Pelodiscus sinensis: one gene and its partners. The protein of the gene in region 4 interacts with the protein of the main gene of each other region in a pairwise test. Links are inferred from orthologs where the notes say so. Each region holds a gene or a part of one and is shown on either strand. Other genes may lie near its edges. The genes, in order: DMD, SNAP91, EXOC1 and TRAF3IP1.

Region 1 (6,989 bases), on a different chromosome or scaffold from region 4:
TTAACGCAAGTCTGTGAATTTGTCTCAAATTCAGGCAGTGTTTCGGAATCTGTTTTCTTGCAAAAGAAGCAGCAACCACCACCCAATTAGTTTTGGCCCAAAAAAACAGCACCAGCCTCCAAACATGATTTTAAGTGTCCAGTATTGGAGGGGTTTTAGTTTTCTTATGAGAGTAACATGCTCGGCTTCCTTGCAAGTAAATGGAGTTCACTTCCAGTGCCCATTAGATCCCTTTGAAAATCCCATCTGTAATAAGCCCCATGAAAAAACAAATTCAGATTCCTCCTGATTAGAATTTAAAACTGTGTGGTCAACAGTCTAAACCCTCAAATAATGGTACAATTATTAGAGACGATACACTGCAAGTTATAATATAAAAACCAGCTTTCTAAATTCCATGGCTAATGTAAACACCCAAATTATTTGAGTACAACAGAAATGGAGCAAAGTAGAAAAATCTATTTTAAAACATTGAGTTGTTTTTGCTCTGATTATAGTACAATGTGCTCAACGTTTCTATGTCACTTAAATTGGTCTGGAGACAGGCTTTCAAGGAAAATTGAGAGGGAAGAGACAACAAGGAAGTGTACATATGAATACATCTTGTCATTTTGTGTTACTCACATTATAATTAACTATATAAAGAAAACAATTTAAAAAGCAAAAGCAGTTTCTCACAACTAAGCAATGCTTTAAAATACAAAATCAATCGAGTCATTTACTAAGCAATAAGTTATGTCCCTGAGTAAACCACTATAACTTTCCTGAAGCAATCTCTGGAGAATCACATCCTCCCACATTCAGAAAAAATATTTTATGTAATTCTTCAAGCTTTTAGTTTCCAATTAATATCCACTCTAATACAGAAAAACATGCTAATAGCGGATTCTTTTAAAAAGAGGTTAAGAGTTGTGTGTGTGCAGTGTAGTGGTTCTAGTCTACATCTACCAAAATATAAGTGGCCTAAGTTCAGATTTGGGTTGATTCACTGTTGAGCTGTGGGTTGCAGTGCCATTATCTGGATCAGAAATCAGTGTGGAAGGAACTCACTCTAACTTTTCTTTCCAGCTTTTCCATTGCACAATGATGCAATTTCTCAACAAAGAAACTTTGTTTTCAGAGCTGTAAGTAGTTTTGAAAAAATTGGGCGTGGAAGGATCTCTGCAGCACTAAGTACACTGCCTCTACTCCATGATCCTACTTTCCGAAATGTTGCACAGTAAAGTCCAAGTACAAAGTAGACCCTTTCATCTGTGAGTTTAAGAAAACCACTGTACAGTGAATGCAATACTAAGAGACACACCTTAAGGAGCATAGATTCCAAGGAAATACTTTGTGTTAGTACAATTTCAAAGAAGAATTGCACTGATAATATTGCAAGTCTCTCTCTATTCTGGGATAATGAGAACCATGCATCAGTAGTCTAGAGGGAAAGAAGGAGTTTATTCTACATTTTGCCAACCCAGAACTTTGTCAGCTAAGTTAGTTACCAATAGGCCAGAGGCTTCCCAAAAATCATCTGGAAGCAGAATTTTTACTGAGGTAGCTGTCTTACAAATTGAACTGGAAAAAACTTCTCACTCTCTGAGGGATTGTTATCCTCTCTCCTTTTTACTCTGGCAGACTAGTGGACTTTTTTTTTTAAAGCTGAAATAATTAAATACTCCTATATTTCTGTGTCTATTTACATTGTAAATGTGTAAATTCTGAATGGTCTATAAATAACTTTACTACCCAAGATTTGGTTTCTCTCCAAGTCTAAACAGAGGGAGTCCAGACACCTGAAACTTTAGCATATGGGGAACCAGCATTACAGCTGCTTCCATTTACAGCTTTAATGGCCTGCCCCCTTGCCCACATGGCACCACAATTTTGTATGAGTGCCTGAGCTCAAGAGTTCTAGTTTATAAGGAAAAGCTCATACTAAGAACATCACTCCAAACACTTATTCCTGGTTTTCTAAACTTTGCTGGAACGTCCCTCTACAGTTCATTAACCCTCCTCGAGTGTTGAAAATTATTTATACAGCATTAAAAATGCATTGGTCCGCTCTCTGCTAACTGCATTAATGTTGCAATAAGTGAATACAACCAGCTACCTCGGTCTTTGCATGCCTGCCCATCAATTTCCTATCTTGTCAGCATGGTTTCTTTCCAAAAGTACAAACTGCTCAGCTTGCATTAGCATTGAGTTCTTGACAGGGAAATGAGTGTCTGGCCCAATTAAATAAGCGCTCATTTCGTTTACAGACGATCCAACTATTTTCATACATGGGATAACGGTGATCTTTTCTTCCCCGCCTCGCATGTGAACTTCGCATTCCCCCAGGGTACGACTTTATGTAGCAATCTCGTTTTATTGGGTTTCGGGTCAGATCTTCTTCTTGCAGCTGGATAACGGAGAAACTTTCCCCCGACACATCCCCAGCTGCGGAGGAATTCGTTCCTTCCTCGGTGGGACACAAGAGGAGGCGACCCACTGGCCCACGGTCGGTGGCTTTGCATGTAACCCACCCAGGCGCCCCCTCGGTGCACACACACGCGGTTCCTACCAGATCTGCTCCTGATGATATCACTGAACTCGTCCGCTGCAGGCTCCTCGCGGGGGTTCTCCGGGCGGCCCCCTTCAGCCATGGCCAACACGCCCCGCCGCCACACGGGCTCTCGCTCGGCTCCGGCTCCGCACCCAGAGGCGCCTTGCAACTCAAAGTTGACCAAAAGGAGGTTTTTGTGGTTCTGGGGGCGGGGGCATAAGCTCAGCCTGGCTCCCCCTCCCCAGCCCCAGCGAGGAGCAAAGGAAAGGGAAACGGGCAACCCAGGCGCTGGCTGGGAGCTGTCAAACTCTGCTCCCCGGACAGGCGAGAACAGGTGCTGAGCCCCGCGCGTCTGCCTTAAAATAGAGCCGGCGGCTCCAGCAAGGTGAAAGAGGAGGAGGTTTGATACTCGATAAATCAGCAGCTAACTTGGGAGACTCCAGAGACTCCCTTTCCGCCCCGCGCGCGATCAATGCAAACAGCAGCAATTAGAGAGCAAATTGCTAAAAGAAGCAAACAGGAGCATGAATGATTTAGCAGCCCCCACTTAAAAGCGGGCGCTTTAATGCAGGGAGGGATTTAGAAAAACACGCACCCCACCCCCACCCCACAGTGACCCGCCTTAGCTCCCTCAGAACAAACTCCTCGGGCAAACAGCCTGGCTCTGTACCTGAGGCCATGGCCAGTCAAGGGAGTGGCAAGTATTACACTCCCTTAATCATGCAAAGCACAGTATTACACTCCCTTAATTATGCAAAGCTGGCCTCTCCCTCCTCCATCGGACCGTCACAGGCAAACTTGGTTAGGAGTCCCACTCTATTATGAGTCAGTACTCTGATTTATTTGGGTCCGGTAAAAAAAAAAATGCAGCAGTAGGCGAGAGAGCAGCCCCCTTACAATCTGTAGTCCAATGGTTAGGCCACAGCCCTGGAGTATATCAAACCCAGGTTCATGTCCACCTGATGTGCAGAAGGGACTTGAAGTTGGGTTCCTCACCTGGGAGGTGACTGACCTAACCCCTGGGTAGAAGGCTATTCTCTTGCTTGTGGGGGAAAACAAGCTCTCAGTCTCTCCCAGGGGAGCAGTTCCACTCAGCAACACCAGTTAAAGAAATCCAGAGAGTAGGGCTATGTCTACACTGCAGGGTTTTTGCGCAAGAACTCTTCTGCAAAAAACTTTTGCACAAGAAGTTTTTTGCAGAAGAGTTCTTGCGCAAAAACATCTTGCACAAAAGCGTGTCCACATCTCAAAGCATGTTGCTTTTGCAATGCGCTTTTCCGCAAGAGCGCGTCCACACTACATGGATGCTATTGCACAAGAAAGCGCTGATGGCCATTCTACAAATGGCCATCAGAGCACCTGTGCTTTTTCGGATAGGCTTTCTGCACAAGAAACCCCTGCAGAGTGTCCACACATGCCTTTTTGCTCAAGAGCTGTAGCCCAAAAAGGAGTTATGACTCATAGAAGGAGGTATACCTACACCACAAAAAGCCCTCTCTTCTGCCAATTGACTGTAGATTTTCTTGCACAAAAATGCACTTGAGGTGTGGATGCTCCATGGGTTTTTGCACAAAAATGGCCGTTTTAATGCAAAAACCTTGTAGTGTAGATGTAGCCTGAGAGAGTGCTATAGACCAGTGGAGGGGAGAGACTCAAGTCAACCTCACTTCTCTACAAGAGGTAGAGAGGCAAATTGACCCTTCTCCCACCATCCAAGGTGAATGCTCTAATCACTGGGGGAACTGCTACCTCCTCACCACCACCAAAATACACAGCTTAGGCACATCACTCCAAGACACAGTTCCTAGATGTGGGTCCCTAAGAAAGACAGGCTTCTCTCTCCAGCCTGGGCTTAGGTGCCTACTTCCAGGAGAGGAGTGTGGCATAAACTGCTCCCCCTCCTCAATATTCTCCACTGGCTCTCTTAAGCAATGACCCTTGCAATATGCTGGCATCTGTAGCTCTCTTTCTAGAGCCCCTCTTTCTCCCCATGCAGTTCCTAGGGAGTATAGGCAACTAACTCAAGGTTTGTGGATTGTGCTGGGTGGGCAGGTGTTTAAAGGTAAAGTACAGGCAGTCCCCGACTTACGCAGATCCGACTTACGTCGGATCCGCACTTACGAACGGGGCTTTCTCGCCCCGGAGGTCGAGGTGGCGGATTGCTACCTGCGAGCTCCGGGGCGAGAAAGCCCCGTTCGTAAGCTGCTCCCGGTGCCCCTGGTCTGCTGGAGACGGTCCCCAGCAGACCAGGGGCACCGGGACTGAAGCCGCAGCCGCAGCGGGATCCCGCGCCTGAGACTTCGCCAGAGCAAAGCCTCAGAGGCACGGCACCCCGCTGCCACTCTGCTCCCCGTGTCCCTGGTCTGCTGGGGGAGAGGGGCGCAGCTAGTGTGCCGCCCCCCCCTCCCCCGCAGACCAGGCTTTTGTTGTGGACCCTGGGGCAGAGCAGCTGGGGTGCTGCCGATTGGTCCTGCAGCGCTGCTCTGGGCACTACTGGACCAACCCGGCAGCACCCCAGCTGCTCTGCCCCAGGTCCTGATTCAGCCGCTGCTGGTCAGTTTCAGCATCGGCTGAATCAGGACGCCTGGGGCAGAGCAGATGGAGTGCTGCTGGGTTGGTCCAGTAGCGCCGAGGAGCGGTGCTACTGGAGCAACCCAGCAGCACCCCAGCTGCTCTGCCCCAGGCGTCCCCAAGTCAGCCGCTGCTGAAACTGACCAGCGCTGACTACAGGAAGCCCGAGGCAGAGTTGCTCTGCCCCAGGCTTCCTGGAATCAGCCGATGATCAGTTTCAGCAGCAGCTGACTTGGGGACGCTTGGGGTTCTTAAGTTGAGTCTGTATGTAAGTCAGAACTGGCGGTCAGTTTCAGCAGCGGCTGAATCTGGACGCCAGTTCCGACTTACATACAGATTCAACTTAAGAACAAACCTACAGTCCCTATCTTGTACGTAACGCGGGGACTGCCTGTAATACAACACTTAAAGTCCTTTGGAGACCTAACCAAGAGCAACACTTACTGTTGTAGGAGAGTTTACAGTAAAGCCAGTTGGAACCAAGTCAAGGAAACAAAACAAAACAAAACAAAACACACGTTCCAGAATCCCTAGGATGGTGATTTTATTTTCTTCAAAAACACAAACATTTCATGACAAGAATCAACCCAGAAAGGGCTTTTGGAGGCTTCTGGACCCTGCTTGCCTGCATAGTGCATTTACATGCACCCGCTGAGGTGTAATTTGCAGAGTGCAGCAACAGTTTGCATACTAACTTCTCCGTGTGGACTCTTCTGGCTCTTACTAAAAGTTCCCTCGTGCACATTGATGTAGTCCTGTCTTAAAAAAATATGACATTAATGTACACTAGGGAACTTGTAGCATGCACAAATGTCCACAGGGACAGTTACTGCACAACAGTCTAGTGCATACTTGAATTTGCACCCTCGCTGAAGCTCACTAATGCACTCTGTAGACAAATACTGTGACTTAAAATATCCAGAACTGTGGCTTTCCAAATCCACAAGCAGAGAGCTTCCACTGAGTCACATAAATTGACTTTCCCTATTCCCAGACAACTTGGCAGGTGCTCACTAAGGGCATAATCCTGAGAGGTTTTAATACCTCTCAGGATGAGACCTTATATAACCAGGATTTCTCTCTCACACCCCAGATTGAGCAATGCAAATATTTCTTACCACAAAACTGTCAGGAATATATTCTTCCTTAAAAGCCAGCTAAGAGTGCCTTGTACTTCCACAATGCTGTGTAGAATACATACCCTGGTTCTCCCTCTTCCTATAAACTCAGAACTACTGTCCATTTAAATATTCATTTGCTTCAATGTAAATATATGTACTATTTTCTCATGAGTCTACAGCTCTCAACAAGTTGGAAATATGTGTGTATATAGATGGAAAAGCTTAGACACGCCTTAGAGTAATCACATGGAATTCAAAACCTAGTATCACTTTAAACACTCACTAAAATTATCTCTGGGAAGGATGGGGGTGATACTTTATCTCAAAAAATGCCTGTTAAGTTTTGTTCTCTATCAACTTAGAAATTGTTTTGTCCAACTCCCAACTTTACAAATATAACCCACTATATAAAAAGACAAGCTGTGTTTTCTCCTTTTAATCCACCATCACAAAGAAAAAGTCCTACCAATAAAATTATACTCAGTTACACCTGCAGAAGAACTCAAAAGAACAAACTGGAGACAAAAAGATTCCATGCATATTACTGATTACCTCCCAAAGGATGCTATCTGACTGCAGAGACCAACCAACAGAGGAGAAAGGGTGCTCAAGACACTGTAGTAAGATTTCCAAATAAAAATTTCAACTTTTGACCAAAATATTTTAAGTTTTCATAGTAAATTTCAACATTTTTTTCTAAAATTTTCTACAATGGAATTTTTTTGACTATAGAGTAATTTAGTACTGTACAGTTTTCAGGCTAA
Region 2 (7,458 bases), on a different chromosome or scaffold from region 4:
TTTCTATTCTTCTACTTGATTGTCACTTTCTGAACCTCGGCCTACTGCATTTTCTTTCCATGTCTAATCCTTCCCTCCCATTTCAGCTGTGGACTTGAGTCTTTTCCTCATCCCATCCACTCAAGAGATCAGTAGTTAAATAGTTAATACTGATATTTAAACATAAGTAGCATTTACATTTGGTATCCTACGGCTATTAATGGAGTCCAACGGAACAGGAGAGAGTTCACAACTCCCAGAAGCTTTGTTTGAAGCCTGAAGACTCAAATAGCGCTGATTCAGTTTACACCTGTTTCACATGTGTGATGCTAACCTTTTAATCATGAAGGCAAGAAACATAGAACATATTCAGTCTCAGATTCTGTTGAATTAGAATATACTATGTGAGCCACAATCACATGGCCTAGCTATGGGTCACTCCTGGTTCTACTGATTGTGATAAAGTACACTGCCTTATATATTGTTAACTGAGCTTGTTGACCTGCACTTATGTACCTAGACTAACCAGTTGCAACATGTACTAATGATTGTCTAAATTCAATATGCAAGAATCATTGCCAATTATGATTTTTTAAACAAACAACTACTTTGAGGCAACAAAACTTAAGCAGCACTCTAACACCTAGCACACATTACGAATCTATCCTCATGTGTTCAAGTGTACCTGGCAAATGACTATCTGCAGCAAGTACCACTTTCAAGTACAGGGTTTACATAATGATTATAGGTACAAGGAGTATCTGAAGTAAACACTAGAATGTGAAATACTGTCAGAAGTTATTTGTCCTTTTGAATAGCAAATGTATAATATAATTTTAATACAAATATTTGAACACAAATTGACTAGTATTAGTATAAAACACTGCTTTAAAGAGACAGTTATTGAGCTAATATTTCCAGATACTAAACAGTGAAAAACATCTTGCTAATCTGTAACAAAAAATGAAACAAAACAAAACAAAAAACCCCTCATTTTTCAAATACCTTACAAGACTATCAAGACATTGCGGTACAAATACACTTTTCTGTCCAAACCAAGCTACAGTAAAAATTAGCTCTACGCTGTATGATTAAATTCTGCCCACCTCTTTCTCAAAGTCAAAAGTGAAATAACAGTGAATCAGAAAGAACCCATGTTAAGTTACCAAAACACCCTCCCCCCGACACACACACACGCAAAACATTACAGATATGCCATTATTTTTCAGGGATGCCATGAACTTGTGCACTTGCTCTTGTTTCAAGTTAAATACTCTCTATGTCCAAAACAGATTTTAAATCTCTAGTTTGTACAGTAGCAAACCAGCAGTCTTCTTCCCAAAACACTGTGGGAGGTACATCAGATAGGCAGATGAGATAGTTGCTTTCCTCAAACAACTGGGTCCCTTGACACAATAGTCTTATTAAAAAAAAAAAAAAAAAAACCCCTTGACTCAACATAATAAAATTTGAGTCCATCTTTGTATTATAACCACATACATATATCAATACTCTAGCTCCAGGTTCAGTATCCATGTCAAAAAGCAACCTAATCATGACTCAAGTCATAGGTGGGTACAATAACCCTCATCGCCTTTCAGAATTGCCTTTCTGGACTAAGGCTAGAGGTCAAAATGAGAGAAAATGGCTGAGGGAACAATATTATGGGACTACAGAAGATATGCAAGAATAAAATCCATTCCTCCCCTCCCCCTCATACCAGCTACTCTCATAAGCCTTCTGATTTGAAGGGTTGATAATATCAAATACTATTGTCAGAACATTTAAGGCACTAGGCTGCCTTCTTAGCCCTGAGGATGTAATGCTTATATAAAGAGATGCTTACAGTCCAGGTGTTTTTTCTTGGGCCCCATCACTTCATGTGTGGTTGCTTTGCAGACGGCTCTGGCTACAGCTGATCCTGTAACGCTGTACTGAGCAGCTGCGATGCGATCTGTCAGCGTCTGACCCGACATCTTCGACTAACGTTAGTGCGGCTGCCTCTTCTGCAAGCGGGGAAACACAGGGGAGAAGGAGACAGTCCGGGTTTAATGACAAAGCGAGGAGAGACGCTGCTCTTCCAGCCCCCGGGGCCCTTTCCAGCAGAGACAATCCTTCCTCCCCCGCCCCGCTGCGTGCGTTGCCAGAAGAGCCCGGAGCAGCTCCCGGGGCAAGACTGGGTATTCCAGGCACTGCAGAAGAAAAGGCAGCGCACACACAACGCATCCGTCCCCGCCCCGCCACCAACCTGCGTCCCTCGCGCAACGCGACCGGGGCAGCAGCCGCTGCCGAGCGGAACTCACCTTCCTCTCCCACTGAGCTAGGCGAAGGGGAGATGGAAGAAGACGAGCCCTCCCCCCCCCCCCCCGCGCCGCGCTCCTGGCAGCCCCGCGAGCCCCCCGGGAATGACTGAGCCCCCCGGGCGGGGCCGCTCCTCGCTGCTACTGCAGCAAACGGGAGCTCCCAGCGCCTGCCTCCCCGCGCCTCTCTGCTGGGGGATTATCGCATCATTGCGCCATGTTGTGCCCTCCCTGCGCCGCTCCCACCCCCAGCCCGCGCCTCTCGGCCGCTCCGGGAGCAAGGGCAGGCCGCCGGCCGGAGCAGCCCCCCAGCAGCTCAGGGCACCCCAGGCCCCGCGGGGATGCCGCGGCTGCAGCGAGCTGACCCGGCCGCAGGCAGCGGCGCGTGCAGGGCTGGGAGGCAGCAGCCGACCTGTCAGCGCGTCCTTCCCTCCGCTCCCGGGGAAAGCGCCCCCGCCCGCCGCGGCGCCGAGCCGAGCCCCTCCTCCGCCGGTGCCCGCAGGCCGGGCCAGGCTCCCGGCCCCAGGTGAGGGCGGCCCCGCCCGCCGCTATTCCTAGCCCAATTCCGCCGCGCAGCAATGGATGTACCAGCCCGGCGCGCCGCCCTCGCCCTCCTGCTCCTCCCGGCCCCTCCTCAGGTTTGTGGCTCAGCCAAGTCAGGTGACCCGGCGCGGACAAACCGGGACGTGCGGACCGCTAGGTGCCGTAGGGAGAGCCCCCCACGCCGCGCTCTTAAAGGGGACACCCAGCCGGCTCCCGCACCCAGCCCCAAGGTGAGCCAGCCCCTCCAGCCACTCTCGGGGCTTCGCTTCCCCTGCGCTGCGCGTGGTTCTCAATCCCCCCACCCCCCATTGTTTCTTGCACCATCTTCTCTCATTTGCCTCTGCTCCCTCCTTGCCTGGTTTGCCTCTTTCATCTTCTGGCTGGGTCTCTCTCCCTTTAAACGGGGGTGGGATTATGTTCATATTAGAATATTTCTTTGACCGTTTGCAAAACATTTAGTATTTTAAAATATTTTAAACTGTTGAATTATGTTTGATATCCAGGCTCCTTTGAGGATGGGCAGGTGTATGTACACACAGACACACAGACACTTTTAAACTGCAGATATTTGGGTGGCTAATTTAAGCCTCTTGAAGCTGAACTACAGTTACCATATAAATGGCCATTCTGAGTCAGACTAATGTCCATCTAGCCAGTATTCTGTTTTCCCATAGTGGCCAGTGCCAGGTGCGTCTGAGAGAGAGTGAATAGAACAGGGTAATGCTGAATGATTCACTCCTTATTCTCCAGGTCCAGTTTATGGAAGTCAAAGGGGTTTCGTGGAGATGCATCCCTGACCATCATATCTAATAGCCATGGATGGACCTGTCTTCCATTAGCTTATCTGCTTCTTTTTTTAACCCAGTTATTCTCTTGGCCTTCCAACATCCGCTGGCAATGAGTTCCATAAGTTGACAGTGTGTTGTGTGATAAAGTATGTTCTGTTTGTTTTAAATCTGCTCCCTATTACTGGTTCTTCTGTTCTGTGACAGCAAAGATGAAGCTGAGGTGGTGTGACCTTGTGAGCTACTCTGGAAATGCTGATGCAGGTAGAGGCATGCTGCAAAACTTGTGGAGTGCTCTCCCAGGCAGGCACTCAGGGCTCCCCTGCTGCAGGTGGCCCCACACACCACAAGCAGCCAGGTGAGGTAGGCAAATGTGAAAGAGGCTGACAGGAGCATGCTGTAGGGGAGGCAAGTGCATTCCCAGCCAGGCTCTTGCTGCCCCTCTCTCGCTGGATGCTGGGCAGTACATGTGCAGTGCCCGGCATGCACTGCTGTGGGCGGCCTTTGGAAAGAAGCCAGGTGAAGGGGGTGGCAACCCCATAACAACCCTGCCCCCACAGGTCCCACGCCCTGCTCCTCCCCTACATTTTCCCCTAAGCCTCTCCACCCCACCACTTCCTGCCTTTGCTCTGTCGCCTTATTAAAGCCTCCTTCCCCCAGTGACTTAAGTAGGGGTTCCCCACCACCCCCACTGTTGTGGTGGGAGCTGGAGTAACCCAGCAGCTGACTCCATTCTGCTCTGCTACTCTCACTGAGCCTTTTGTGCTCTTGTTCCCACTGCCGAGGTGAAGCCAAGCACAATGGGCTGGAAGAAGGTGGTGGGGTGGAGCAGCCTGTTGAGTTGCCCAGCTCCCCAGTGCTGTGGTGAGTTTGGGGAGCGTGGGAACAGCCTTCCTGCTGCCCTGCGCCAGGCCCCTGGTAATCCCCCAGGCAGCCCTGAGACCCATCCATAGGATGACTGAAGCAGCTGCCATTGGAACTCCCAAAGCTCAGGGCTTGAGGCAGCTGCCCCGAACTATCCTATGGACAGGATGTCTTTGGCACACAGCTGGCTCACAGCTCCTTTGGCAGCAAATAGTAGCAGCTGGGCAGGACCCACCCAGGACCCACCCACCAGCAGGTGATGTTACCCACAGCAGGTAATGTTACCCAGCCACAGCCCCCCCCAACATTTCTTCCTACACATGTACACCCCAGCCCCCTGCCCTGATCCCTCCTTTGCCCTGTCTCCTGCACCCCTACACCCCCAACCTCTCTACATCCCCTGCCCTGACTCCTGGACCCCACCCCCATACTCCTCAGTCTCCTGCCCTGAGCCTCCCCACACTTCCAGCCCCCTGCCCTGACTCCTGTGAAATATTAATATATTATAGTGAGGCTCAAAAATGTAGGTTACTGCATTTCAAGAAATCTGTAGCAAATTACGATATTCAAAACTGTTCAAATTGCATATTCATATCTACCTGAGAATGATGGCAGAATTTTAAGAATTTAAGTGTGATCATTTCTTTTTAGATTCTTTTACAACTAATGTAGACAACACATGGATTTAACGGTACAATATTTTCAAAGGTGCAGAATTAACACAGATTGAAATATTCACACACACCCATACATATTATTTCAGACTCTTGATTGTGTAAATTACAATACAAATTTGGCATATTCAGTAGATATGGAGGGATCTAGATATTTTCAAAACTGGAGATTGAAAGATTCAGGTGATGAGCAGCTTTGAATCTTCTCATAGTAGAAAGTCCAAGATAAGAAATTAGATTGCTCTGTGTGTTTGCTTATAATATATTTTTATGAGAATATATATTTACCACAGTATATTTAACTGTGCTCAACTGCAGCACCATGAATGAAGATCCATTCTGCACAAGTCTATAATTTAAATACGTGCCTTTAACTGTTTATTTGTATGAAATATAGACATTAATATTTTGAGGAATGTTTTAAATGTACCTTTCATTTTAAAGTGGAACATTAACTTTTACAGCAGTTTATTATAAAAGAGGGGGTCTTTGGAGATGCCATTCAGGCAATAATAGCAGAAATGCACACAAATATTTTTCTATAATTCAAGGTTTCTTTATTTTCTAGTACCATCTGATTTCAATAGAAGACACAGAATTGGCATTTAATTTTCACAGCTATTTCATCATAAAGTTTTATCGCTGGCAATAAGGGTGGCTCTGAACTTCTGCCCAGTAAAACTAACAAGGGTTTAGAATGTCCTGAATTTCAGAAGATAGGATAGGTATTTTTAACTAGGATATTAGTATTTTAATAATGATAAAAAACCACCATGCTGGGTGTTAAAGGGCTATTTTAAGGCCATTCTAAATCCTTACTAATTTCACCTTAATGAGACTTGAAGCAGCTAAGGAAAACAGGTTTTATCTTTAAAGGAATGACATATTTGAATAGTGATACAGTTTTCTATTAAAATATGACATTAAGTAGCCTGTGTGAACTGTAGTGTGAACTTCTGGCTACTTTGTGAAGATGGTCAATCTTGGCATTGTCAGTTTCTGTCAGTATAGCATTCAGTTACATCACCAACTACTTCAGCACTTAACACAACTGGGCTTTATGTAGAAAAATTGTCAAGCTAATTATAATCCTGTCATTCATAGTATACCTAGCCTCCACCTCTCCCCCAGCAACACCTTATCCAACTCTTTATGCTGCCTGCAGCTCTCTGACTCTGCCCTTGGTCTTCTTTGCTCTTAGTTCCCCTAGCCCTCCAATCATACACGCCTCTCCAATCCTTTCCATTCCTTCTCATTGAATCCTCAATACAACTAATTCCTTCTTTCCCTGCCCCAAAGTCTCCACTGACTCCAATCTCCCTCATGTAAAGAGGTTTACAGATTTTGAAATAAGCCATCTGTTATTTTGAAATTATTTCAAAATAACAGAATTCTGTGTAGATGCTTGCATTGTTATTTCGAAATAACTGTGCTGTGTAGGCACACCTGTAGAGAGAAACTTTGCCCTCATTGATCTGTGAGATCAATTAGTCATTTATCATGAAACCTAGGATACCATTGCCTTTTCAAATTCAAAAAGTAGGCAGGTTTAAAAAAGAACATTAAAAAAAGGAGACACTTGTTTTGGGGAACCAAACTGAGACACAGGCATGTGGAGAGCTAGGAGGTACTAGGTCTGAAAAAGTTAAGGCCTGCCTACCCTCTGGAAATAATAAACATTAAGGTATAGGCAGACATAAACTGTTTTTGTAATAAAAAAATTTCTCTCTAAATACTTTGTTCCTACTGTTAAAATAAACAATACTCTTGTTTCAAGAAGGCTTTTTGATCACTGTACTCCACTGGTCACAGTCTCAGGCAGACCTGTTGCACGAATATGGTTGATACATAGCCTGTAATCCAGATCCTGATCTGCAAGTGGGAGAACTGAATTCTGTCCCAGGATAAGTAAAGATCTGAGACTTTAGGGGTACACTATGGGCATGTCTATACTTACCAGAAGATCAATGCTCCGGAGGTCAATCTTCAGGTATTGAATTTAGCAGGTCTAGTATAGACCTACAAATCGAATGCTGAGGTCAGCCCCCATCAGCATCTGGTACTTCTCCTTTTGCGAGGAGTAAGGGAAGTTGATGGGACTGTTTGCTCCCATTGGCCTCCTGCAGTGTGGATGCCGCCAAGGTTTGGCTTAAGGTAAGCCAACTCCAGTTACACATTTTTCATAGCTGGAGTTGCGTACCTTAAACTGACCTTCCTGGTCTAATGTACATCAGGCCTACGTAAGTACATAGAGATGCAGCTAGCCCTCTAACTATGACAATGGTTCCTGGAACTTTAAAAAAAACCTCAAAT
Region 3 (7,197 bases), on a different chromosome or scaffold from region 4:
ATTATAAATGGAAAAATCGTGACAGATCATCTAGCCCATTTCTCTACAAATGCAGAATTGTTCCCTAGAGCACCTTTTCTGGTGTTTTAAACAGTGTGGTTTAAAATGTGACAGCTGAGGCTTCCGCTAATTCCTGATGACGGTATTCCAAAATATAATAAGCAGAGAGACAGCAGTGACAGACACTTAGGCTATGTCTACATTGGCAAGATTTTGTGCAAAAGCGCTTGCTTTTGCACAAAATTTTGCCGCCTGTCTACACTGGCCGCGAGTATTTGCGCAAGAACACTGATGTTCTACTGTATGAAATCAGTGCTCCTTGCGCAAATACTCTGACGCTCCCGCTCAGGGATAAGTCCTCTTGCGCAAGTATTCTTGCGCAAGAGGCCAGTGTAGACAGGTAACATCAATTTCTTGCGCAAGAAAGTCCGATGGCTAAAATGGTCATCGGAGCTTTCTTGTGCAAGAGAGTGTCTACACTGACACGGATGCTTTTGCGCAAAAGCAAATCTTTTGCGCAAAGGCACATGCTAGTTGTGGGGGTTTCGGGGTGCGATCACCCCTTCTTGGTCCGAGAGGGGGGGTCAGCGAACCCTAGTGCCCCCTCTTAGTGCCTATTCGGCCCCCGGGGCCCCAATGGGGAACCCCCGACAATGGGTGCAATCACCCCCTCCCAGGAGGAAGGGGGGGTCAGCGAACCCGTCAATAGTTACCCGTCTCTGCGGGGTGGGGCAGCAGACCCCTGGTTCAGAGTTTCCCCTTGCGGGGTTGTGACTTGTAGCGTCTCTCTGTTCAGGCCGTGGGTAGTGGGATGTTCCCTTCGTGGAGGGAGGGGGACCCGGTCCCACCCTCTCTCCGGGTCCCAGCCCGGGGCCCTAAGCTTGACTGTGCACTCTGTGAAGGAGTTCCACAGGTTGACTGTGCGATCTGTGAAGAAGAACTTCCTTTTATTTGTTTTAAACCTGCTGGTCATTAATTTCATTTGGTGGCCCCTAGTTCTTATATTATGGGAACAAGTAAATAATTTTTCCTTGTTCACTTTCCTTATTCACCACTCATGATTTTATAGACCTCCCTTAGTCTCCTCTTTTCTAAGATGAAAAGTCCTAGTCTCTTTAATCTCTCCTCATATGGGACCCATTCTAAACCCCTAATCATTTTAGTTGCCCTTCCAGTCATGGGTACTGAAGCTGTTTTAAAGGATAGATTACAAACCATAGTTTATAGTTCTGCACTTTCACATTTCAGGACTAAATCGAGAATTGCCTCTCCCCTTGTGGGTTCCTATACTAACTGCTCCAAGAAGTAGTCATTTAAAGTATTGAGAAATTTTGTCTCTTCAGCTATTCGATAGTTCAGGTTACAACTGTATTTCCATGATAAGCCAATTCCATTGCCATTCTCTCCTCTAAAACCCACAAAGGCTTAGTAGGCTAAAATCTGTAAGACATAGATTGCGATAGAATATTTCTACCTTATTTGAAGTGAATTGGACAATGGAAGAGTTCAGGTTGCCCTGACCAGTCTTATTTTAGGTCCTTGTTCCTATTGCAGATGAGATCCAATTTATGTCATGCTACCTCCACTCCTGGGATAGCCCAGAGCTCTCCCCTCCACTATTCTTTGTCCTGTCATCTGGATACTCCACCTCCATGTATTTCCACAAAATAAATTAAAGACTTCCTCATTTCTTCTTCCAACATAAACTGAAGGCTGTTTTATGTTATCAAAGAACACACTGTCACAAGGGGCAGAGTTAAAATTAGTATAGCAAAATGTAAGGGTCCCTCAGTCCACTTATGGAATGAGAGCATGAGAGGAGAGGTGAAAGTGTTATGCATGCCTTAAAAGAGACTCTCATAATGTGTGTGTTAAAAGATGTAACCCAGTGTATTAATTAATTCTTAACATTGTTCTTTTGGTTTTGTGGCAATAGAAATAAGACAGAAAAACTGGGAATTTTAAAAAGTGATTATATAAGTAATATGCTGCTAAAGCTGCATACAAATTCTATACAATCTTTTACAGGCACTTTGTCCAGTCTGCTATAGATCCTACGAGAGACAGTTATATTTTGTGGTTAGAGTGAGAAATTATCAGATTGTAAATTTTCTTTTAACCTTGCCCCTCATGAATGATACATTACAGAAGAAGTACACAGTATATTGTTTTATGAGTTACAAATGTAATATATATCCACCTAGAAGCACGTCCCTTGGTACTTCAATATTGACTGCCAGTAACCTGCAAGAATCTCAGTCGTATCTCATTTCTTCATGTGTGAGAGACTTGCAGAGCTGTGAGAATATGATTTTATGTCTACTGGGGGTAGGTCAAGAAGTAATGGGCTAATCTGTGGCAAGGGAAACTCAGGTTAGATATTAGGGAGAATTTTCTAACCCTCAGGAGATTTAAGCTCTGGACTAGGTTTCCATGGAAGATTGTGGCACCCCCTGTCACTGGAAAATTTTAAGAACATGCTGGACAAATACCTGTCAGGGATGTTGAAAATGTATATGGTCCTACATCAGCACAGAGGAATTAATGACCTTTCAGGGTCTCTTTCAGCCCTATATTTCTATGATAATTTATGCAACTGCTGCTAAATGTGAATGAGGTTTATTGACCACGAAGAGAAGCTCACTCACAGTATAGACCAAATTGCAATCTCCTCTTTCAAGGTTGATGGGAGTTATATGCCAATGTCAGGCAGAATTTAAACACAATCTCTCACTGTATCATTGTGTGTTGTGATCCTATCAGATCTAATTAGCTGTGCATGCCTGAGCTGAGTCTTTCTTTGAAAGGTCAAAATCCAAACTGTAGATGTTGCAGATGTTAGTGCTTCTGTGTCCTATTTTCCTCTGAATTAGTACTGGTGCTAGAGTACATGGAGCTGCTGGAGATGCCTTTTGCTTAAGTGTAAAACCAAAGTCCTGAACCTTTCTGGTTACTAAAATTTCATTGATACTTTTTGCAAAAGAAGGGGTATTTATTCTGAAGTAATGAATAAATTCCAAATCAGGTAATTCCTTGCAGTTTTAATAGGCTATGGATTTCTTCATTTCTTATCCAAAACTCTTGGGTGGTTTTGCAAAGTACTATTAAATAACTTCCGCTTTCAATTCCAGATATATCTGCTTTTCCATTATGTGTAAGGTGAGCCATTTGGCCTTTACTTATCTGAAATTGGGGTTATGGGACTTAATGTAAAGTGAATTTACTACTCAAACAATGTGTTATGTTGTGTCGCAAATACTCCCACTCCAGTATTCATGGATATTGTCATTTGCAAGGATCTCAAGAACATATCGCCCCATGAATAGCGAGGACTTCTTGTGATCACAATTGTATTCTGTATTGTAATTTAAATCAATATGTATTAAAATGTAGAAAAATGCCAAAAATTTAATACATTTCAATTGGTATTCTATAGTTTAACAGTGTGATTAACTAAAAAATAAATTCTGCTTGGTCACAATTCTAATCAAGAGTTAACTGCAACTGACAGCTGTAGTAATTAATGTTACTTCCAAAACAAAAATATCCCCAATTTTTTAAAAAAATTATAAAATCTTTTAGCTGTCTCCATCACAAAGCCATACACAAACATCATATACCTCAATATGCAATCAACGTTTGCTTTTGTTGCATCCTACTTAGAACCATCATTTGGTGTTTTGTCTACCTGGTTGCAAACTCATTGGGACCAGGCACTTTATCTCCATATTTTCAGGTAAAGCTCTGCATAAGGAATGAGACTAATAGTATTTTACATGCCATTTGGACTGAATTAACCCCGTCAGTGAGAAGTAGAGGGCAATTCTCTCTGGAGTTAGGCTGCATCCCCAGATCACCTGCCAAAGGGATTCTAGTCAGCAGAAAGATAAATGTTAAAACATACATTTTAAAATGTAATTCTGCTCTCAGGTGCTTTGGGGGCCCGACTCTGATGACCCTGCTGCCCCACTTTGCTCCACTCTCCCCATGCACACCACAGGAGTTAATGAGCCTTCCGCCTCCCACAGTCCCAGATCAGCTGCCCCCCATCTCCTCCACAGGTGAGCCCTCTCCCTCATGCCTGAGCTCCTATTGGCTCGTTCCACCGTTTCCCCGCCCAGTTCCTCGCAGAGCGCGGCGGTGGCCGGGCTGTTGTCCCTCCTGCCGGCAGGGGTCGCCCTCTTGAGACGCGGCAGCCCTGAGGCCCCTCCCAGTGGGCTGCGGTGTTTCCGGACCCTGTCACGTGACAGGAAGAGGTCGACGCCGCGGTTCTGCGTTGCGGCAGCCGCGGCCGGATCTCTGCGAACGGTGGCGTTAGATGGGTCGGAGGCGGAGCCGCTGCGGCCTAAGGAGGAGCCACCACCCCAGCCCCTGCGCCCGCCTGCGCGGCCCCGCGGTAAGGGAGGGGGGCGTCGGCTCCGGTAGCCCCGCTGTGCACAGAGAGCTGCGAGCATCCCTCGCGCGGAGCCCAGCGGCCCCGCCTGCGCCTGGCTCCCGGCTCTGCAGGGGCAGCCCCGCGCGCTGTGGCCTGACCCCCCCCCCCCCGGCCCCTCTCTCCCTCCTCGCCATCGGCGGCGGCCACGGGCATCACGCCGACCGGGCCCCGCGGCGTCACACGTGTCTCCCGGCACCGAGCGGGGGCCAAGGGGCGCGGTCCCGTCGGGCCAGGCTGGGAGCGCCCCGCGGGAAACGCGTCAGCAAATGGGGTAAAACCCGCAGCGCCCGCGACGTGGGTTCAATGTCTCTCTCGAATAGACCGGAGTGTGTGTTGCCCGGGATCTCGGAGGCGTTTAGGTGCAGTCTCGGGAGGGGGGACTGGGTCTGTGCTGGGACAGGGGCCAGTCCTGCTGCCTGCTCCGTGCCGGATACAGGACATTCACCCTGGGAGTTCAGCATATGTAGCTGTCGTGGCGAGGCATACGTTGAAAGCTTGGAACGGGCTGTTCATTATAATCTGTATAATCTCTTCTGCATATATTGCAGATAATACTGACACCAGAGACAAATAGGACTAGCATATGTATGATGTAGGGGACCTAAGCACAACTAACAGTCAGTGCTAACTCTTAAGTTGCTCTAGTTATGTTATTTAGGGGTAACACTGGAGACCTGTAGTTAAGTTGATCTAAACTTAACTAGTATGGAGGCCACTAGTTAAATTACATAATTTACTTAACTTAAATTGTAACTTAGATTGATTTACAGCAGGTGGGAGCCAATACACTCAGGGAGCCAGCTTTTAAGTTGGCCCCCTGTGCATGCTGTACAGAGCTGCCTCCCACCCACCTGCACTCATGGCTCCCACAGAAGCAGCAGCATGGGTTAGGGCAGCCAGGAGCTGGTTCTCATGGGGAGTCTGCTTAAAAGTGGGCTCTCTGCAGGCACTGGCTCCCGCCTCCTTTCCCCACATGTAAAAGTGTACCTGCTAAAATGTTCTGCTAGTACACAATTATACAAATAACACATTTTAACATCCCTAATGTACACATTGTTCTGGTAGCTTTGGTAGCGTCTAAGGAAAATGTTTTGCTGGGTTTAATCTGTGTTGTGATATCAGTACAGCCTATGGCAGTGTTTCCTCAATGGTGTTCTGTGGAACCTCGGGGTTCAAAGTGAAAATAAGGGTTCTGCAAGAAAATATTGTCATTTTTGTTTTTAAATATTTGCAATTAAACTAAATGGTGATCTCATGACCTTGTTTAGCATTTGTTTATTATTATCCTTACTTATTTGTGGTCTCCTTTTTCAGTTCCATATATAAGACTCTTATTAGGGGTTCTGCAAAATTCTTTCAAGTTTAAAAGGGTTCTGTGGCCAAATAAAATTGGGAAACATTGGTCTACGGCATCTCACTAGACACTTATGTAATCTCATGTACATCTTGAAATAGAGAAGGAGACAGCTTCTAAGAATATTTAGGTAAGATGATTATGGAAGAGAAGCAGGTACTGATTGCTACAGTGTGTGCAATTAGAGAGAAATGAATGGTATTGCAGATTATTCGTATTACTCTTTTATTACTTTATCTGCCTTTGAGCCAGGGTCATGGGTGAAGACTGCATTGTGCTAGGTGCTACACAAACACAGTACTGAAAGATAATTCTTGGCCAAAGGAGCTTGTACTCTAAAGACAAGACATGAGACAACATATGGATTCAAACAGATGGAGTACAAGGAGACAGAGACAATATTGGTCGTAAACAGTGGTCACAGCATATGAGCCCCCCTATCATCAAGGGTGATGGTTTGCTTTTTTTGAGGGGTGGGAGCATCACAGCGAGAGAAAGTATTAAGGAGGGATATGAAGGAAGATAAGTGGATAGCTTTTTGAATGTTTATGGTGAGCTCTTCTCAAGTACAAGTGAGAGTATGAGAGAGAGCACAAAAGTGCTTATTTGAAAACTAACAAGTGAATTATGAAGGCTGACCTCATGGGCCAATTGGAGGTGATGATCAGTAGCCAATGAAAGACAAGCAAGGTGCGGATTGTCTATGAAAGTACTTGAAAGTGAAAATGAGCAGTTTAATGTTTGATATCCTAAAGGAGGGGGAGCTAGTGGAGGGATGCAAAGAGGGATAACATTGTTGAAGTTGCAATGCTGCATTGTCTCATTTAGCTGTGTTAGGTTCATAGTACTTACAGTGAACTGCAGCAAAAATTGCAGAGGCTATAAGATCAAATGGCAAATGTGTAGGGGCATATTACAGTCACTATTTAGTAGTAGTTAGGAATCTTCAACCCCACCTTTCAAAAGTGGCACTCTTTGTTACTTTCAAGACAAAGAAGATAAAACAGTTACTCACCTTTTATAAGGTAAGGGGAGGGATAGCTCAGTGGTTTGAGCATTGGCCTGCTAAACCCAGCATTGTGAGTTCAGCCCTTGAGGGGGCCATTTAGGGATCTGGGGCAAATCTGTCAGGGATAGTACTTGGTCCTGCTGTGAGGGCAGGGGACTGGATTCAATGACCTTTCAAGATCCCTTCCAGCTCTATGAGATGGTATATCACTACAGTTCTATGAGATCTCTTCATCCAGATGGATCTAATGAGTCTCCTCCATCCCCATTTTTTCAGCATCCCCTTTACTTGAGATTCTGAATTAGTATAGGAACTGAGGGTTGATTGAGGCAGCCCTTCCTTTATGCCCTTGGGTAGGTGGGAGCACAAAGACATGCATAGCCACAGACAAGGCCCAAT
Region 4 (7,624 bases):
GCAAACAATAAAATACCTGTTAACTACTAACACAAGTGTTGGAGCTTTTTATGCAGCTCATGACATTGACAGTCCATTACAGAGCTCCTGCACATGACAATCTTTCCAAAGGGCCCAGAGCTCCACTTCATTACTCAGACACCCAGACATGAAAACTCATTCACTTTACCGCTCCATGTACAAGCACCTAACTTGGTAAGAATATGCACAAAAGGTGTTTAATAAACAGTTCTCAAGATATCAAACAACACCAACAGATTCTGTAAAAATCTCAACGTTTTTTATGTAAGTAAACAATACACAAAAAGTTAGAGTTATTTGCCTATGCACAACCACAACACACCACCACCACCACACTTTTAAAAAGGCAGCATTTAAGCATATTCCTGGGCATTAGCTTCAGATGAGTGTAGGTTTATCATAGTAAATAGAATTCAGTGAAACAAAGTGGCAATAGCTAGTGACCAGTTATAAAGAATTCCAACATTAAATAAGGAAATTTCAAACCCACCTTCACATTATCAGATTTCATCTCAAAGTCTGTGTAAAGCCCGTTCATAAAACCAGTCACTCTAATTACCTTCAAAGCAAACACAGTAAATTAATAATAATAAAAAAAAAAACTAGAAAGCTTCCAAAAAACCCCATCTTTTACAAACTTTCTGCAATCACTTGGAGGGATGCTATTTCATGCTGAACTATTTTGGTGGTGCAGTTTTAAAGATCCTTTCTATTGCAATGATCTCTTCTGTCATGGGTTTCAATAAGTCATTTGAAGCTTGCTCTTTTTTTTTTTTAAAGTCTCCTTCCTTTGAATCATTATATCTCTGCAGTACAGAAGATTCACTTTAAAGGCTACGTCTACACTGCAGACTTCTTGTGCAAGAACTGTTTTACACAAGAGTTCTTGTGCAAAAGGTCTTCTACAAGAGTGTGTCCATACTGCCATGTGCTTTTGTGGAAGAGATGTGCTTTTGCGCAAGAGTGTCCATGGCAGTGTGGATGCTCTCTTGTGCAAGAAAGCTCTGATGGCCATTTTAGCCATAGGGCTTTCTTGCACAAGAAACCGCTATTGCCTGTCTACACTGCCTTCTTGTGGAAGAGCTCTTGCGCAAGAGGGCTTATTCCTCATGGGAAGAGGAATAACTCTTCTGGAAGAAGCCGTGTTTTCCAACGCTGTACTGTAAATTTACTTGCGCAAGAACGCGCGTGCAGCATAGACGCTCTGCAAGTTTTTGTGCAAGAATAGCCTGCAGTGTAGATGAAGCCTTTTTGTTTTACGCAGAAAATTACAGTTAATACACCCAAAGGCCATATACTTTAACGACAGTCCCGATGTATTCTGTTACTGCCTAACACGTGGTGGCTGATTTCTTAATAGACATGCACATACTTGAGTTCAGGGAATTTAACATCTTCTAATGAATAATCCATTTTGACCTTCCTTTGACTAAAAGAAGGCAAAAAAGGATAAGCTTTGTGAATATCTTTCAGAGTGTAGGAGTGCTCACCTTTTATTCTATAGTAGATGTTCATTAGTAGCCACACAGGGGCGCCTTTTGCTACTTAGCTTCTAAACACCTATTGCAATTCTAGGGCTTGCTGCCAGGTCATGGTGGGTGGGGAAAGCATTCCCACGAGAAATGTTCATAAGCAGTGGTTGCTTTTATAAGGTGTTGCTGTAAACAAGCACCTACTGTAGTACTAACGACCACAAATGTTTTCTACTTTGGTAATATCTTTCACCTGCAGCTGTAAGGTTTGGGAGATGGGGGTGGGTGTTGTTTTTTATTTAAGAGGAGCAAAAATTCTTGCCTCCATTTCACACATTGGAAAAGGCAAAAGAGTGAGAGAGAAACCAAAGCAATAGAAGGGTTGCTGGTCAGGATGTAAAATCCCAGGTAATCTGTTAATTAGTTACACCTCTGGTTTAACCAAACAAATGGGCTCCTGCTCCTGCATGTGCCCACCCTCCAACTCAGGGTTCTGTCCCCTCTGTGCTCAGGGGAGCCAGCTTCTGCTCCTGCACCCCTGAGGGAAGGGGAAGTGGCAGCAGAAGCATAAGGGTGATGCTCACCAGGTAACCAGTTACCCATTCACATCCCTAGCTGCTGGTAGGTAGGTAAATAGCTACCCCTCCCCCTACTGCTGCACGCCCTCCTCCAGGCAGATGGGAGGGCACCACGGGGGGGGGGGGGGGGGGCTCACCAAGGTCCCAGGCCAGTGGGGTCCTGCGTCCAACCCCCTGGGGAGCTCTGCCCTCCAGAGTCCCCCAGCACCCCGAGCCCCGCCCACAGTGCCCCCAGAGAACCCCGCCCTACCAGAATCCCCCAGCACCCCCTAAGCTCTGCCCCCCAGAGCCCACAGCACTCCCTGAGCCCCGCCCCCCAGAACCCCCAGCACCCCTGGGGAGCCCCGCCCTACCAGAGCCCCCCAGCACCCCCCTGAGGAGCCCCGCCCTACCAGAGCCCCCCAGCACCCCCCTGAGGTCTGCCCCACAGAACCCCCAGCACCCCTGGGGAGCCCCGCCCTACCAGAGCCCCCCAGCACCCCCTGAGGTCTGCCCCACAGAGCCCACAGCACCCCTGGGGAGCCCCGCCCTACCAGAGCCCCCCAGCACCCCCTGAGGTCTGCCCCACAGAGCCCACAGCACCCCTGGGGAGCCCCGCCCTCAAGAGCCCCCCAGCGCCCCCTAGGGAGCCCCGCCCTACCAGAGCCCCCCAGAACCCTTCGAGCCCCGCCCCTCAGCCCCCCACCCCCGGGCCCCGCCTAGCAACCGGCCGCGCGGCGCCCCCACCTCGCCGATGACGTCGTGCAGGTAGCGGAAGGGCGGCTTGCTGAGCAGGCGCTCGGTGAGCGGCGGTTTGCGGATCACGCGCCCCAGCGACTCCTGAGTGCGCCGCACCACGGCCCCGTCCATGGCGGCACCGGCCGGGCCGGCTCCGGCTGCGCCCTCCCGGCATGCACCTCGCCCCCGCCGTGCGCAGGCGCAGCGCCCCGGCCGCTCGCTGCCCACCGCGGCCCTAGCAACGGGCCGAAGGCGCCTGCTTCGGCCCCGCCCCCGGCCCCGCCCCGCCGCGCAGGAGCCAATGGCGCTGCCGCGCTCCCTGGCCGGGCGTCCGGGCGGCAGAGCTGGCGCGCGGGGCGGGGGCAAATAGGGATGCTCTTGGAGCACAGGGGCGTCCACGGGGCAATTGGGGCACAGGGCTGCCTATGGGGCAATAGGGATGCCTGTGGGGCAATTGGGGCACAGGGCTGCCCGTGGGGCAATTGGGGCACAGGGCTGCCCGTGGGGCAATAGGGCTGCCCGTGGGGCAATTGGGGCACAGGGCTGCCTATGGGGCAATAGGGATGCCTGTGGGGCAATTGGGGCACAGGGCTGCCTATGGGGCAATAGGGCTGCCTGTGGGGCAATTGGGGCACAGGGCTGCCCGTGGAGCAATAGGGATGCCTGTGGGGCAATTGGGGCACAGGGCTGCGTATGGGGCAATAGGGATGCCTGTGGGGCACACTTGGGCCCAGCAGCTCCCTGCCACCCTTCATCTCCCCACAGGGGTATACACCTCACCTGGCTGTACCTATGGTGCCTGTGGGCTGAGTCTGTCCCTGCCCAAGGGCCACCCCAAGTTCTCTCTCCCCAGAGGCCCGAGCTGGCCTGGCTCCCATTCCAGCAGGTCTCTTGCGGGCTCTCTGCACTTCCCACTAAGCTAATGATTTCATGCCAAACTGGAAGCTCTGTGGTCAGCATGAGTCCCACGTGACAGAAGGGCAAAACCTTGAGCTTTCCCATGGTGGGCAAGTCTGGGTCTCAGCTATCTGTCTTCCCAGACCCTGACCCCAAGCCCTGACTCACTGCTCAGGCACCCCAGAGATGACAAGGAGACACAAACCCCAGCTGCTTCTAGTGCAGGCAGATGTAGACTCTTCAAAAGTCTGTGGAGCACTCGCTGAGCCCATATACCTATACACCTTTATCAGCCCAAGCTCCCAGCACTAAAGCAGGAATTGTTACAGGTTGACTGGTATCCCTCCCAACTTTCCTTTCCCCAAACATTAGTATTTCCTCAGACAAACTCAAGTCCAAGTGCTGGGGGACAGCTGAGAGGCCGAGTGAGACTAACTGATCAGGACTCTCAAACTGCTTCAGAAACAAATTAGGGGGTGGGGGAGAGAGGCACAAATTCACATTAGTTCAGGCAAGTTTGCCTCTGGACACCTGATAGAAGGTACTTCAGCACAAAGAGCTCAAAGGAAGTAGTTTGCCTCTTTCCTCTCCCTTTGAGACAATCTGAAATTGACGAGATTCCCAGACTAACTCTGCCTCAGGGGAACTGAGGAGCCTGGGAAGAGGAGGTGTTGACACTTTCCTACAGCCAAGGACTTTGTAAGAAGTCTTGTTAGGAATCCAGAGGAGTGGGAAGAAGAAGCTGGGGAGGAACTGTGTTTATTTTGGAATGGTCTGGTTCATTTGGACTTCTGCCACTAGCTCTCCATGAAGTATCTATGATGCCTGAGAGACTGGGAGGGAGAGTCCTCAGGGGTTGTTAAATGTGAACTTCACTGTTTATTTGGATGGCGAGTTGGTATGCTGAGAAAGGGTGGATTGGTTTAGCTAGAGTCAAAGGCTAAACAGCCCACAGACTATGGACATCCCTCTGGGCCCACAGAGAAGCACTTGGAATTGAAGGAAGTGTCCTGCATTAATGACACAGAGGAGGTTTGGTCTCTATTTTAGGTGCCCTGGCTAGAACTTGCACTGAGTGGGAGCTCCATTCAATCTCACCACATTATGGTAGGAAGTTGTGACATGGTGTCAGCAGTGGGATCTGTGAAAAGGGGAGAAATATGAAGACTAGAGACTTCTTATCCGTGGAGTACACAGCTGAGCAAAGTATTTCCATTCAGTTTCCAGGAACATTCCAAAGGAGAGAGGAGATATTTTCTGGAAGCAAAAAATGTGGAATTGGTGCAGTGGTCAATAATGAAAAGGACAGGTCACTGCTACAGTGTTATCTGGATTGTTAAGCAGACAAATGCATTTTAATACAGCTAAATAGATATGTCTAGGAACAGTAAAATCAAGTCAAAATTGAGAGACATAACCAAGCCAAGTGCTCCAAGAAAATGTAGCACTAGAAGAGAATTGGCATGTGCTAGGGAACAGACTTTCTTGGAACATTCTTGTGAACTGCTGATATTCAATATTTTAAAAATAACTATTACTCCTTAAGGGTCAAACTGCCCAGAAGACATGGATGTCCACGATATTCTTATTGATAAACTAGGCAAATATAACTTAGATAGATCCACGATAAGGTGGGTGCATAATTGGCTGGATAACCGTAGTCAGAGAGTTGTTGTTAACGGTACTAAATCCTCCTGGAAAGGGATAACAAGTGGAGTTCCTCAAGGGTCTGTTTTGGGACCCGTACTGTTCAATATCTTCATCAATGATGTAGATATTGGGATAGAGAGTACGCTTATTAAGTTTGCAGATGATACCAAACTGGGTGGGGTTGCAACTTCTTTGGAGGATAGGGACATAATTCAAAATGACCTTAGCAAGTTAGAGAAATGGTCAGAGGTAAACAGGATGAAGTTTAATAAAGAGAAATGCAAAGTGCTCCACTTAGGAAGGAACAATCAGTTCCATACATTCAAGATGGGAAATGACTGTCTAGGAAGGAGCACGGCGGAAAAGGATCTAGGGGTCATAGTGGACCACAAGTTGAATACGAGTCAACAGTGTGATGCTGTTGCAAAAAAAGCAAATATGATTCTAGGTTGTATCAACAGGTGTGTTGTAAGCAAAACTCGTGAAGTCATTCTGCCGCTCTACTCTGCATTAGTTAGGCCTCAGCTGGAGTACTGTGTCCAGTTCTGGGCGCCACATTTCAAGAAAGATGTGGAGAAATTGGAAAGGGTACAGGGAAGAGCGACAAGAATGATTAAAGGTCTAGAGAACATGACCTATGAAGCCAGGCTTCATGAACTGGGCTTGTTTAGTTTGGAAAAAAGAAGATTAAGGGGGGACATAACGGTTTTCAAATATCTAAAAGGGTGTCACAAGGAGGAAGGAGAAAATGTGTTCCTCTTGGTTTCTGAGGACAGGACAAGGAGTAATGGGCTAAAAGTGCAGCAAGGGAGGTTTAGATTGGACATTAGGAAAAAATTCCTAACTGTCAGGGTGGTCAAATATTGGAATAAATTGCCAAGGGAGGTTGTGGAATCTCCCTCTCTGGAGATATTTAAGAACAGGTTAGATAGACATCTGTCAGGGAGGGTGTAGACGGAGCTTGGTCCTGCCTTGAGGGCGGGGGGCTGGACTCGATGACCTCTCGAGGTCCCTTCCAGTCCTATGGTTCTATGATTGCTATTCCGCATGGAACTTGGTTTTTAGTCCATTATTTTAAACAACATAGACTATGGCTCTGCACACACTCAACATATTTGTTTGGCAGCTCCTGCCTGAAGATTTGTTTTATCAAACTTTCAGACGCTGAGAGGTCAGACCCTAAATGAATTGTACTTCTGCAGTACTACAATTCATTTGCAAATTTGACACTATCAATTTAGGATTGAACAAAAACTGAATGTCTAGCCAACTACAAAAGCAGTTTCTCCTCCTTATCAGCTGCTAGAAGTGAGCCTCATCCTCCTTGACTAAATTGACCTCTCTGGCCTTCCTCTTGATTGGTACTCCCTTCTTTTCATGTGCCTATTTATACCCACCTCTGGAATTTCTACTACATGCATCTGACGAAGTGGATCTTTGCCCATGAAAGCTTATGATCTATAAATCTTTCAAGCAAAGCTGATTTTTCCTCCCCTCCCCCCCCCCCCCCCAAGATAAAAAAACTATTGCCACTGTTTTTGCTCTAGGTAGAAACCAAGAAAGTGTGTAAGTTGCCATTTTGGGTTGTTTTCCAGATATGAAAGTACCTGTTTAGATCATCCTTTCAGTTTTCCAGTTTTCTATTAGATATTGAACATCTTCCTGTTCCTTTTGGTCATTTATGTTCCATTTCTGTAGCAAGCATTTAAAAACTTATTGTTTCTCTTTTAACATTTGTCTGCTCAATCTATTGACTAGACGAGGCTAGTCTGACCCCTCATACAACTCTGGCTGCCTTATCAGCGTTTGGTAGCTCTGAATAAAACCAAAACTGTGATAACCAGCCTTTGTGTTGTCAAAAGTATACACCATTGAATGTCAATAGAAAATCTTGTTTGTTTTATTCTCTTGACTCAAATTAAATGGACTTTGTAAACTATTGAGTGTAGATGAAACAAATCTGCTTGTACAATCAGGAGAAGCGGTTCCTATTATATCTAGTGAAGGAACATGTTACAACAAGCCTCCAGCTATTGTCTTTCTCTGAATCTGTTCTCTCCTCATTGAGAGGCAAGGTGCGGAAAGGAATATCTTCTATTGGATATTGAACATCTTTTATTCTGTTGGTGGAGGAGGCAACCTTTCGAGCTTACACAGAACTCTTTGCCAGTTCTGGGAAATGTACTCAGAGTGTCACAGCTAAAATGCAGACAAGATTGTTAAGCATAAGGAATTTAACTTTACCACCTGGCTGAACACGAAAAATATGCAACTCAGTTAAGACTTGGT

The links.
Region 1: the proteins of TRAF3IP1 (region 4) and DMD interact in a two-hybrid assay, tested with the Homo sapiens proteins (2 studies listed by BioGRID and IntAct). The link is inferred for Pelodiscus sinensis from reciprocal best matches to the Homo sapiens genes TRAF3IP1 and DMD.
Region 2: the proteins of TRAF3IP1 (region 4) and SNAP91 interact in a two-hybrid assay, tested with the Homo sapiens proteins (2 studies listed by BioGRID and IntAct). The link is inferred for Pelodiscus sinensis from reciprocal best matches to the Homo sapiens genes TRAF3IP1 and SNAP91.
Region 3: the proteins of TRAF3IP1 (region 4) and EXOC1 interact in a two-hybrid assay, tested with the Homo sapiens proteins (2 studies listed by BioGRID and IntAct). The link is inferred for Pelodiscus sinensis from reciprocal best matches to the Homo sapiens genes TRAF3IP1 and EXOC1.

What each region holds. Positions count from the first base shown.
Region 1 is NC_134711.1:198,904,294-198,911,282, reverse strand, and holds the start of DMD (dystrophin), read right to left. Parts: upstream 3,015-6,989; 5' UTR 2,634-3,014; coding exon 2,552-2,633; intron 1-2,551. UniProt on the Homo sapiens protein: Anchors the extracellular matrix to the cytoskeleton via F-actin. Ligand for dystroglycan.
Region 2 is NC_134713.1:60,610,128-60,617,585, forward strand, and holds the start of SNAP91 (clathrin coat assembly protein AP180), read right to left. Parts: upstream 3,019-7,458; 5' UTR 2,868-3,018; intron 1,986-2,867; 5' UTR 1,956-1,985; coding exon 1,826-1,955; intron 1-1,825. UniProt on the Homo sapiens protein: Adaptins are components of the adapter complexes which link clathrin to receptors in coated vesicles. Clathrin-associated protein complexes are believed to interact with the cytoplasmic tails of membrane proteins, leading to their selection and concentration.
Region 3 is NC_134715.1:84,576,013-84,583,209, reverse strand, and holds the start of EXOC1 (exocyst complex component 1), read left to right. Parts: upstream 1-4,180; 5' UTR 4,181-4,396; intron 4,397-7,197.
Region 4 is NC_134717.1:64,455,918-64,463,541, forward strand, and holds the start of TRAF3IP1 (TRAF3-interacting protein 1), read right to left. Parts: upstream 3,012-7,624; 5' UTR 2,921-3,011; coding exon 2,798-2,920; intron 581-2,797; coding exon 512-580; intron 1-511.